Linked DNA regions of Caenorhabditis elegans. The protein of the gene in region 3 interacts with the protein of the main gene of each other region in a pairwise test. Each region holds a gene or a part of one and is shown on either strand. Other genes may lie near its edges.

Region 1 (3,756 bases), on a different chromosome or scaffold from region 3:
ATGCATCACTGGAGGATACTGTAGCAAAGTTCAAAGTAGATCATTTCACAAATCTTGCGAATCAGGTCATACGGCTCATTTATCAAGGTATCTTTAATTTTTTATGTAAAGTAAAAACAGTTAGTAATGTATTTTAAAGTTTAAAAAAATTAATGAAAACAAATGTTTGGCATTTGGCAAAAAAGCTTTTTAAAAAATATTTCAAAAATGATAAAAAATAAGTGAAAACAAAGATCTAACGATTATTTTTTGCGAATTCCATAAAATTTCTGAAAATATAGAACACAATTTTATTGGCCTATATCTAAAGTATTCGTTGAAAGACACAAAAATGTACCTATCGACCGCAATTTATTTTGTTGATAATTTGATAGATTGGAAAAATTGTGAAAACGTGCCACAGTTGAAAGTTTTATAGAATTCCCAAAATTTAATACCACTGGCTCATAATCCTGAAAATCAAATGGAAAAATGAATATTAAAAAAAACTATTTGAAAAAATTAAAAGTCTTTTCTTCAAGCCTAAATAATTTTTAACTGAATTTTTCAGGCCAACTTCTCAGAGAAGATCATCGAACGCTAGAAGAATATGGTCTTCAACCAGGAAGTATAGTTCATTGTCATATTAGTACAACACCATATACACGACCAGGAATAGCAACTCTTCCTCCAATTGTCAATAATGGTTTTCGACGAAGACCTCGAAGATCCGTCAGAGCTCCACGTGACACAACTCCAATGCCGTCGGAAAGTGTTCCAGTAGTTGATGAGAATGTTACAACAGCAAGAAGAAGAGCTGCGCAGGACAGAAATGTTGGACAGATCTATTTACTTTTATCAACAATGGTTCCAATTCTTTCTGGAATTGGATTGGCATTTTTCCGTCCTGATCGAATTCGAGATCTACTTCGGCCAGCCACACTTCTGACGATTAGCCAATGGGTATGCAATTTACTTGTTGATAATGGATTGTTGGAACAAGATGATGATGATCAGGAAACTCATTTGCAAACTTCAACATTATTTTGGATTTTTGGAGGTGATTCTAATTTTCAAAAAAAAACACGTCAAAACGCAATATTTATTACAGGTCAAATGGTCGCAGTGAGCATATTTCTGTACTACTTTCCAGATGTATTTGATCGAGTCGGCTTTTCGATCTTCATTATTGTATTTCTTTACTTCGTTTTTGTGGTTTATTCACGTCAGCGACGACGCCAACCGGATCCTGTTGAGGTTCAAAATGAAATGATGGAAAATCAAATCGTCCAGGAGACTATTCGTCTTCTGTAAATTTTAATTTATATTTCACAGTGAGTTTTTATTTATTAGGAAAAATAAATTAAATTTACTTCAAAAAAACTTTTTAATTAATTGAAAACGAAAAAGTTATGAATTTATTTTCTTTTGAAAAAAGCTTTCGAAAAAAAACCAGAAATATTAATTTTTGCTTTAAAATTGAGTTTCGATTAAAAAGCTAACAAATAAATAGTTGTTTTTATTCAGCAATAGATTTTTCAATTTTCAGATTCTTGTACACTTCAAATCGAAACCATTATGATTCTAGCCACAACAAAATTGCACACAAAATGGGTATCAAAACACTTGGTTTTTTTTTCAAAATTTTCCACTTGAAACGGATCAGACAGAGGATGAGAAGATCCAAACATACACACATCGAATACTGCGAAATTTTATTCAATAATTCTTATTCCCCCCACCCCGTCCGTGTGTTCTGTGTATATTTGACTCGGTTCTTGTTTTTCATCTTTCTTTTGCATCATCATTAGATACTTCACTAGTAATAAATTGGTAGCTTTTATACAATTGTGGACTACAAAAAATACAGTGCTAAAGGATGTTTGATTGTAAACTTCGAAGAAGGCAGCAGCACAATTGAGTTGAGTAAATATGGAGAAAAGTTGGAGGCAAATAAACCCTTCAAGACCCCCTTTGGATTCACTTTTCCACCCAGATAGATAGTTGCTCCAACATTGAGAATAATGGTAAGGCTACCACCTCCAACGCCACCACGGAAGCCTAATATATGTGGGACATCTGGAAATTCAAATGGAATAAATGAGAATATTGGTAAGTTTTTTTTTAAACTTTATGCTGATTTTCAGATGTTTGTGAGATTTTTAGAGAAATAATTAATTCTAAAAATAATTTCGATGTATTTTTAAATGAAAAAAAAAACCACTTTTCGAAATTATAATTTTGAGATAAATTTAATTAACCTGAAAGCAGGATCTGCGAGCGAACGGCAAAATTCGCAAAAATAGGCGGTAGGCAGGTATGTAGGCAGTAAGGCTAGAGGCAGACACGAAAATGTAAATTCCTACGGCAGCTTTATCGGAAAAGTTGAGACGACTAATTTTTTAATAGTGATAAAGAATATGTGCCTTTCAGGAGTACTGTAATTTTCTGCAACGAAAGTCTGAAATTACAGTACCCCTTAAAGGCGCATATTCTTTTGAATCCAGCAAGCATTTGTCGTGTCGAGACCAGGCATCTATTTTTGGCATATGGGTAATATAATTTGATAAGTTGGAAAATATTGAAATTTTTTTTAAATTTCATTAAAAAACATTTGCTGTCACAATTACCACAAAATTTCCACATATTGTTCATAGATTTTTCGTTTTGGAGCCAAGAAAAGGTTCTCGCACTTGTCAGTATGTAGATAATTATAGGAAATCTTGCAATATACAGTGTGGGAAAGTTCTATAGGACCCCCCCTAATTTGAAGGTTTGAGGAACTTCCGAAAATTTTTTCGAAAAACTGCTAATGCCGTTCGTTTTTAAATTGAAAAAAACCTATATACATTTTTTTCCAGAAGTTTATCTCAAAAACTGAGGTCGCGCTGGAAAAAACGTCAAAATCCAGTGTGAAACTTCTATAGGACCCCCCGTTTTTTTTCACGATTTTTACTAAAATCAACAGATTTTGGAATTTTTGACAAAGCTCAAATCAAGTTTGAGTTAGAAATGAGTTCAGATAAGCAGTTTTGACTTTAAAAATTAATACGAAATGTTCTCGTGGGATCTCCAGACTGGTTCTGATTCTTCCGATCTTTGATGTTCAAGTCTGTTTCAAGCTTCCTGGTGCTCTCGGTAATGCAAAAACTTGATAAACTCTCTTTAACAAGTTCCTACTAAAATTCCTAGCACGCACTTTAGATGTTTCGACTGTGTAGTCAAGCTGATTTGGCAAAATATGCAGCAGGAAACAATGGAAGGCTTATCAGGAATCAAATCGTTTTTCTTTGATTACAAGGTTCCATGGGACCAATATTTCAAGTTAAATTGTCCCTCACAGATGTTATTTACTATTTTTTGCGTGAATTATTAAATGTGGAATTGTGGCATGTGTTGTGGCACACATATAGAGGCTGGAAAGCTTACTTCGAAAGCAGTCTAACTTGCAATGCCTCGAGGATCTGCCCTTTCGGACACTGAACGCGCTCAGCTGGATGTTATGAAATTGCTCAATGTGTCCCTGCATGAAATGAGTAGGAAAATTTCCCGTTCTCGACACTGTATTCGCGAGTATCTGAAGGATCCGGTGAGCTACGGTACATCTAAAAGAGCTCCTCGTCGCAAAGCTCTCTCCGTGCGTGACGAACGAAATGTGATTCGTGCTGCCTCCAACTCCTGTAAGACGGCAAGAGATATTCGCAATGAGCTTCAATTGTCTGCTTCAAAAAGGACCATCCTCAATGTCATCAAACGATCTGGTGTAATCGTTCGTCA
Region 2 (3,756 bases), about 11 Mb from region 3:
TCCCTTACCTCCCTTTTTACTGGGTTACCTTCAACGGGTCGTATCTTCGTAGAGCATGCTTCAGTCAACAAAATTTCCAATTGACGAAATGTGCAAAATTACACGGGAAAGATTTTTGTAGTTGTCAATTTTTTGATATCTCCTTTCTCCGTTGAGTTATTTGAGTTTGAAAATGGCTGGGTCTGTGACGAGTTTCTTCAGACATTGGCTCTTTTTTGAAAAAAACTGAACAGTTGAAGAGCGGTGCTTGTAAAAATACTTGAAAAATATTCTCATCTCGTTTGCACCATGTCGCTTCAAATTTTAAGGTTTTTGGCTTTTTTTTTGAACAATGTGAACTTCTACAAAAGCGGGCATAAATCAATAAAAACGCCGTCTTCAAAAGTTTATAGCTTATTTAAAATCCAAACGGGACCCCAAAACTCTTCGCTCTTCCTTAGCTCAATCCAGGTAATTTATCTCCATATCCCCAAACAAAATTGAGCCATCAAGCGAAGAGGTGTAAAATTGTGCAATGCTCAGGGTATTGTGCAATTTATTCGAAATCTTTAGCAGAAGAAAACGAGAATAATGAGTTCTTGCGAGCCATTCGGATATTGGTCATCGCCGGGCAAGCCGGAGCAGCTGCTCTCGCCGCGTTCCGAAATTCCATCAGGATGACAACGTACTAAAAGAGCATTGTACGAAAAAAAACACGGAGAAAATTTGTGGCAGCACACACAAAAACACAACAGCCGCATAAATTTCTCTCCATTTTTTGTCTTCTTCGTTTCTTTCGACACACAGCTGATTTTACACAGAACATCAAAAAGTGAGGGTGGATAATGATGATATGGGCGGAGATGAAGATTTTGTAGTTTTGGGTAAAAAATAGAGGAAGAGAAGAAGATGAAGCTCAGTGTTTTTGGTTTTTTCATCTTTATCTCATCTTTTTTTGAAAATTAGTTGTCGGCAGAAAGCAAATGTACTAATTGAGTAGAGGATTTATGAGTTTTAAAAGTGAAAAAATATTAGGCTACATTTTCTTTTCCTAGAGGTTTGAAATAAGCCTACCACAAAAAGGCCTGCCTACCTTCAAGCCTATGCTTGGTACCTTGACGTTCCGCCTGGGCGCCTCTAATATGCCTTCCATTTGCCTCTGGACACTTATATCTTTTTACCTATATAGTTTTCGGTCGTTAGTGTATAACTCAAACTGTGCTACGTGTGTAGGCAGACGTAGCCAGCCTTGTAGGCAGGCAGGCTTTATGGTTTACATATAATCCCAACTTTAACAAAAATTAGTTATCTTTCTAAACATAAATTAAGCGAATTCGTGCTCTCATTCATGTATATTAAAAGCCCTTGGCACTCGTAGCTCAAAGCGTCATGCGTGTAGGCAGCCTTGTTGGCAAGCAGGCAGGCAGGCATCCATTTTTCTGCCTACACAAAATGCCTCCTATTGCACAAAAATGCCTGAAAAAGATCAACCGGTTCATCGTTCCCGTTCATGTAAGAGGTCTCAAATCGCGAAACTTTCCCTTCCAGTTTTTATCAGAAAAAATCTGAGCTTTGTTAGGCCCGAAACTCTTTGCAAAACTAAAAACTCAAATTCCATAAATCACAATTAAGCTGTTTCTCTGCTATTTTGTATCTGCTCAAAAGTCGGGATTTGTCATTCGAGAACTCGTGAGAACCTCGCCGCCCAATTAAATTTTTTGAGTATACTATGGTCTTGTGATCAGTTTTTTTGGACCAAGTCTAAAGTACATATATTTTTAATTTTATGCGGCGCGTGTGGTAGGCCTTTTCCAAACCTCTGGTGACTGAAAATTCAAAAAAAGAAACCGCAAAACCAGTAACTTGTAGTTTTAAAACTCTAACCTGGAACTTTGCGTCAAAAAACATATCAAAAACAATCCAGTAAAAGACTTTAAAAACCAGGACACATTTTGCACAGTGATTGACAGGGAAGTTGATTGTTTTTCAAAAATCGTTGTTTTTTTTCTAGAATATAAAAGTATATAAACCTTTAAATTTTGAACTCTCTCCAATCCATCAAATTTCCAAGTTCTCAAGTCAAGAAATACTCAATCAATCTCTCTTTGCAGGAAACATTGTGTGTGTGTGAGCAAAATGGAGTTTAAAGTATCATCAAGCCAACGGTGTTCATCTCCTCCTTGGTTCCTCCATCACCACCTGACCACCACTGCTGGAGGAGCCTCTCGTCCTCTTCCATTGCATCACCGATCGCACTCTGCTTCCACCCCCACTACCACTTCATCCATCACCGCATCACCGTCCTTATCTCAACTTCCTCCTCACCAGCCCTACCATCTTCATCAACAACAGCAACATCATCAACAGTTGCACAAAACCATGACAAGTGCACTTGAGAAATGTACATCTTCGCTGTCTGAAATACATAGATTATTAAGAGGTACGTTTTTATGCAAATGTTTGGAGTTATTGTGTTTGTGAGTGCTGTGGTTTTGACTTCTAAAAATGACTTCCAATTTTTTTTTTGAAATTTATTGTACCGTCAAACAGTAGTGAAAACTTGGTTATCATAATTTTGGAAGTCATATATTTTTTCTTACGACTTTTTCATACTTCAATTGCGCTGCGTTCAAAGTGTTGCTATTTGAACATTCTAGATTTGAACATTCTGAACATGCAGAAATTATAAAAGTTCTTTAAAAATTATAAATGTTTGGAGGATTCGGCAAATTACCAAATTTCGATTGAGTTTTGAAAACTCTTTTTTGAAATGTTTTATTATGCCCCACTTTTAAGGATACTATTCCCATGGATACTCGGAAATTTATGTAGTACTTGACAAAAAACTGAACTAAAACCTCCGAAGTTTTTTTTTTCAAAAATATTGATCGTGTTTCTTGATCTGTGTCATTTCAAGAGTGTAAAATTTCCTGCAAAATGTTATAGCAAAAGCCCAACGGTTCTTCAGATATGAGCTCAAATTGGAAATACATGATTGATCGGCAGCTTCGGCTTAAGTTATACAAAATTTTCCATGAAAAAACGAAACATACACCACCAAAATTCAAAATCAAATTAGATTTATGTTTTGAAAAATTTGCTGCTATGGCAATTTCTCTAATGCTCTCATAATTGTAATTAACAAAAAAAAACGTTTTTTTAACGTAAATAAATGAAAAAGATTTATTATACACGTGAACTTGAAATAAAGACGTAGTTCAATTAGTTGCATTTTTAAAATTTCATTCCACTGCTATTATTCTAGACTTTGCGGCATCCATAACTAGCGCTTTCGAGCCCTCGTCTTCTGGTAAATCTTGGGTTAAAACTGGCCAAGGCCGATCCAACATCACACCAGCTTTCCGGGAGGGTCCATTTACCATGAGTGTAGAGCTTGGCTACAAATTAAATTAAAAAACACACATGTTATATTCCACCATACCAAAGAGAAAAGATGGTTGTTCAGTTCTGTCTTCTGGGCGTCCGCACCTAGCACCAAAGTTGGTAATACCGGCGTTGTCAAATTTTTCGGAATCGATTTTTTCTGTGATTCCAATGATAACAGATCCTTTGGGACACCATTGAATCGATCTCCAGTATCCATATGGCGAATCATTGTAAATGACAATTTTGTTATCGATGCTTAGGGTATCTGAATTAGAAATTGAATTAGCTAGTTTACCAATTAGAATAGTTACTTCCGTCCGGTGGATTGCAGAAAAAAATCAGTTCAGTGACACCATGATCTAGGCTCAAAACGCCTCGTTTCGTTTCAAG
Region 3 (3,756 bases):
GGCATGCTGATTGGCATTGCTGACATTGTGGAGCAGCTGGTTGCTGACATTGTGGAATACATTGTTGTTGGCACTGTTGAGTCTGTTGGCACGAAGTTTGACATTGTTGGCAAGCTGGTGCAGATGGAAGTGTGCATTGTGGAGCACACTGTTGCTGGCAAACTGGAGCATACTGCTGGCAAGTATTCTGGCACTGCTGGCACTGTGGAGCTGATGGCTGTTGGCATTGAGGAGCACACTGTTGTACGCATTGTGGAGCTGCTTGCTGACAGGTTGTCTGGCATGGTTGAGTACATTCCTGATAGCACTGTTGAACTGGAACTTGTTGTAGAAGACATTGTTGTTGACACTGTTGTTGGCATTGTGGAGCACATTGAGCAGAGATTCCCAAGTTGACATTGATGACTTGTGGAGCAACAGTTGGAGCACATTGTTGAACACATTGCTGCTGACATTGTGGTTGACATTGTTGAATTGGTTGAGCTTGAACACATTGTTGAGTGCACTTTTGTTGGCATTGTGGAACACACTGGACTGTGACTGGAGCTGGAGCAACACAGGATTGTTCACAGGCTGGCATGCAAGATGGTTGACATTGGACTGGAGCTGGAGCAGCTATTTGAGTATAACAGGAAGACGTCTGACAAGTCTGCTGGCATGAAGATTGACACTCATTCATAGATGGAGCAAATTGACATTGGTTCTGGCAAGACTGCTGACAAGCTGGAGCACATTGAGAAGTTTGCACTTGGTAAGTTACTTGCTGAACTGGTTGGGCACATGAGCAGGATGTCTGGACTGGAGCAGTGTTCTGACACGAACAACTGTACTGTTGTGGTTGAGTTGCTTGTTGGCATGAACAACTTGGTTGAACTTGTGAAGCACAACCACATGATTGACGTTTATCACGAATTGATGTTGCCTGGAAAAAACTTCTGTGAACTTGGAAAACAAGCATTTTGTTGCTAACATCGATTACGTCCAACAAATATTTGTAAGATGTGGGCACTTAGAAAACTAGACCGTATTATCAAGAACATTTTGAAAAAACTGTACATGATGAATTTTTCATCAAGTGATGGAAAATTGTTGTAGTTAATATAATATTTTTAATTATTAATAAACCGAAATACTAACTGAAAAAGTTTAGAAATGTCGTGCCATTCTAAAAGTGAAAGTACAATGAAACTTTATCAAACCTCGATAAGCAGACAGCTGGAAGCAAAGAGAGCTACAAATACGATGAAACGCATGATAATGGTTGAAGAAGCAGGGCTTGATGATTTCCACAGATATCAAGGCTTTATATACCCCCTCAAACACTGCTTGCGTACGATTATAGCAATGTAAAAAAATAGTGCCGGAAAAAATAGTCCAAGAGTTCAAGTCTTGTAATTTCGAATGGCTATTGTGAGAGCAAACAAAAAGGTGTTTCTAATAATGAGTGGCGTCAAAAGGCAATAAACAATTTAAAATCGTTTTGTCGAAATCCGAACTCTAAAGTTCAACAGGTAACCCTTTCATTACTTTTCTGAAAATGTAAACGAAATTTTTTGGTACACATAGTTAAGCGGAAACTCGGCGCAATCCAAAAAAAAAACACTGTATCAGTGCAAACGCGCACCCAACCTCTTTTTGATCTTTGCAACTTGCCGTGCCCTCAAGAAATAGTGTGTGTAAGACTGGGAGGCGACGAGCGTGTTTTTTGGTTCATTTGCCATGTTATCATTGTTATGTTTGCGCTGAGCATGAAGCCGGTTGATGGATGGAGTTTGATAAGTGGGACGGAACTGTTTGATGGCTAATGAAACAGGGTTGTAGGACGTTGGTATAAAAGTCGGAAAAATTAAAACAAGGGCATCAATTGTCTCTTAGCAGCTCTTCAATCATATTGACAATGCGTTTTATTACAATTGCAGCAGTTCTTCTTGTTTCTAGCCTTCTTATTGTTGAGGTACGATTTGTATTACTGTTGCTTCACTTACTTTCTGAATTATCTGTAGAATTAGTTAACAATTTATATGTACACCTTGAAACATTATATTATTTCTAGGCATCTTCAATTCGTGATAAACGTCAATCATGTGGTTGTGCTTCACAAGTTCAACCAAGTTGTTCATGCCAACAAGCAACTCAACCACAACAGTACAGTTGTTCGTGTCAGAACACTGCTCCAGTCCAGACATCCTGCTCATGTGCCCAACCAGTTCAGCAAGTAACTTACCAAGTGCAAACTTCTCAATGTGCTCCAGCTTGTCAGCAGTCTTGCCAGAACCAATGTCAATTTGCTCCATCTATGAATGAGTGTCAATCTTCATGCCAGCAGACTTGTCAGACGTCTTCCTGTTATACTCAAATAGCTGCTCCAGCTCCAGTCCAATGTCAACCATCTTGCATGCCAGCCTGTGAACAATCCTGTGTTGCTCCAGCTCCAGTCACAGTCCAGTGTGTTCCACAATGCCAACAAAAGTGCACTCAACAATGTGTTCAAGCTCAACCAATTCAACAATGTCAACCACAATGTCAGCAGCAATGTGTTCAACAATGTGCTCCAACTGTTGCTCCACAAGTCATCAATGTCAACTTGGGAATCTCTGCTCAATGTGCTCCACAATGCCAACAACAGTGTCAACAACAATGTCTTCTACAACAAGTTCCAGTTCAACAGTGCTATCAGGAATGTACTCAACCATGCCAGACAACCTGTCAGCAAGCAGCTCCACAATGCGTACAACAGTGTGCTCCTCAATGCCAACAGCCATCAGCTCCACAGTGCCAGCAGTGCCAGAATACTTGCCAGCAGTATGCTCCAGTTTGCCAGCAACAGTGTGCTCCACAATGCACACTTCCATCTGCACCAGCTTGCCAACAATGTCAAACTTCGTGCCAACAGACTCAACAGTGCCAACAACAATGTATTCCACAATGTCAGCAACCAGCTGCTCCACAATGTCAGCAATGCCAATCAGCATGCCAATCTCCAGTTGTTGCTCCACAAATTGTGACTGTCATCCTAGAACCTTCAGTTTCTCAATCTGCTCAATGTGTTCCACAATGCCAACAATCATGCCAACAACAATGCATTCAACAACAACAACCAATGCAGCAATGTGCTCCAGCATGCACCCAATCATGCTATCAATCGTGCTCTACTGCTCAACTAGTCCAGATGCCATGCCTCACTCAATCAGTCAACTCCTGCTCTTGCCAGCAAAACTATTCTCCGTGTGGAAATGGACAATGTTGCAAGAGAATGTAGTCATCCAATGTATAATTGTGACACCAGTTATGTGTATATACAAGACAATACTTCTTTATACTTTTTTAATAAATAATATTGATAACTTTAAGTTTTTACTCAAATTTAGAAAAAAAAAAAAAACTTTGACCACTGAGCGGATCGAACGCCCAACCTTTCGATCTGGAGTCGAACGCGCTACCATTGCGCCAAGCAGTCACATTTTCCTTTGTCATCTAGTGCAATGACACGAAAGGGGTAGAGAGAAAGGAGAGAATAAGGAGGGGACATATGGCGGTAGAAAAACCGGTGACGGACTACTCTCTTCATCGTTTATCACATATTCTGAGTGTTTGTTTTTTCAAATTTAATGGAGGAAATAGATAGAATAGTGAGGAAATGAGAATGTTATTGATTTTCATGGCGGCATTGGTGTGAAACTTGTTGCTCCTACTGACGCGATTGTGCCAACTCTTGACTGTTTAATCTCTTTGAAACTTCTGAACAGAATCATTCGA

The links.
Region 1: the proteins of pqn-90 (region 3) and B0303.7 interact in a two-hybrid assay, tested with the Caenorhabditis elegans proteins (one large-scale study listed by BioGRID).
Region 2: the proteins of pqn-90 (region 3) and F19C7.8 interact in a two-hybrid assay, tested with the Caenorhabditis elegans proteins (one large-scale study listed by BioGRID).

The regions. Positions count from the first base shown.
Region 1 is NC_003281.10:8,691,652-8,695,407, forward strand, and holds the start of B0303.7 (SH3 domain-containing protein), read left to right. Parts: upstream 1-1,970; 5' UTR 1,971-2,003; coding exon 2,004-2,091; intron 2,092-3,756. Other genes in the region: B0303.4 (transmembrane and ubiquitin-like domain-containing family 1 protein), read left to right, coding at 1-87, 551-1,039, 1,091-1,293.
Region 2 is NC_003282.8:4,636,455-4,640,210, reverse strand, and holds the start of F19C7.8 (SH3 domain-containing protein), read left to right. Parts: upstream 1-2,115; coding exon 2,116-2,419; intron 2,420-3,240; coding exon of another isoform or gene 3,241-3,377; intron 3,378-3,421; coding exon of another isoform or gene 3,422-3,631; intron 3,632-3,677; coding exon of another isoform or gene 3,678-3,756. Other genes in the region: R105.5 (Vitelline membrane outer layer protein 1), read right to left, coding at 3,241-3,377, 3,422-3,631, 3,678-3,756.
Region 3 is NC_003282.8:15,289,404-15,293,159, reverse strand, and holds pqn-90 (Prion-like-(Q/N-rich)-domain-bearing protein), read left to right. Parts: upstream 1-1,897; coding exon 1,898-1,954; intron 1,955-1,971; exon of another isoform or gene 1,972-1,993; intron 1,994-2,023; exon of another isoform or gene 2,024-2,053; coding exon 2,054-3,259; downstream 3,260-3,756. Other genes in the region: pqn-91 (Prion-like-(Q/N-rich)-domain-bearing protein), read right to left, coding at 1-922, 1,200-1,253.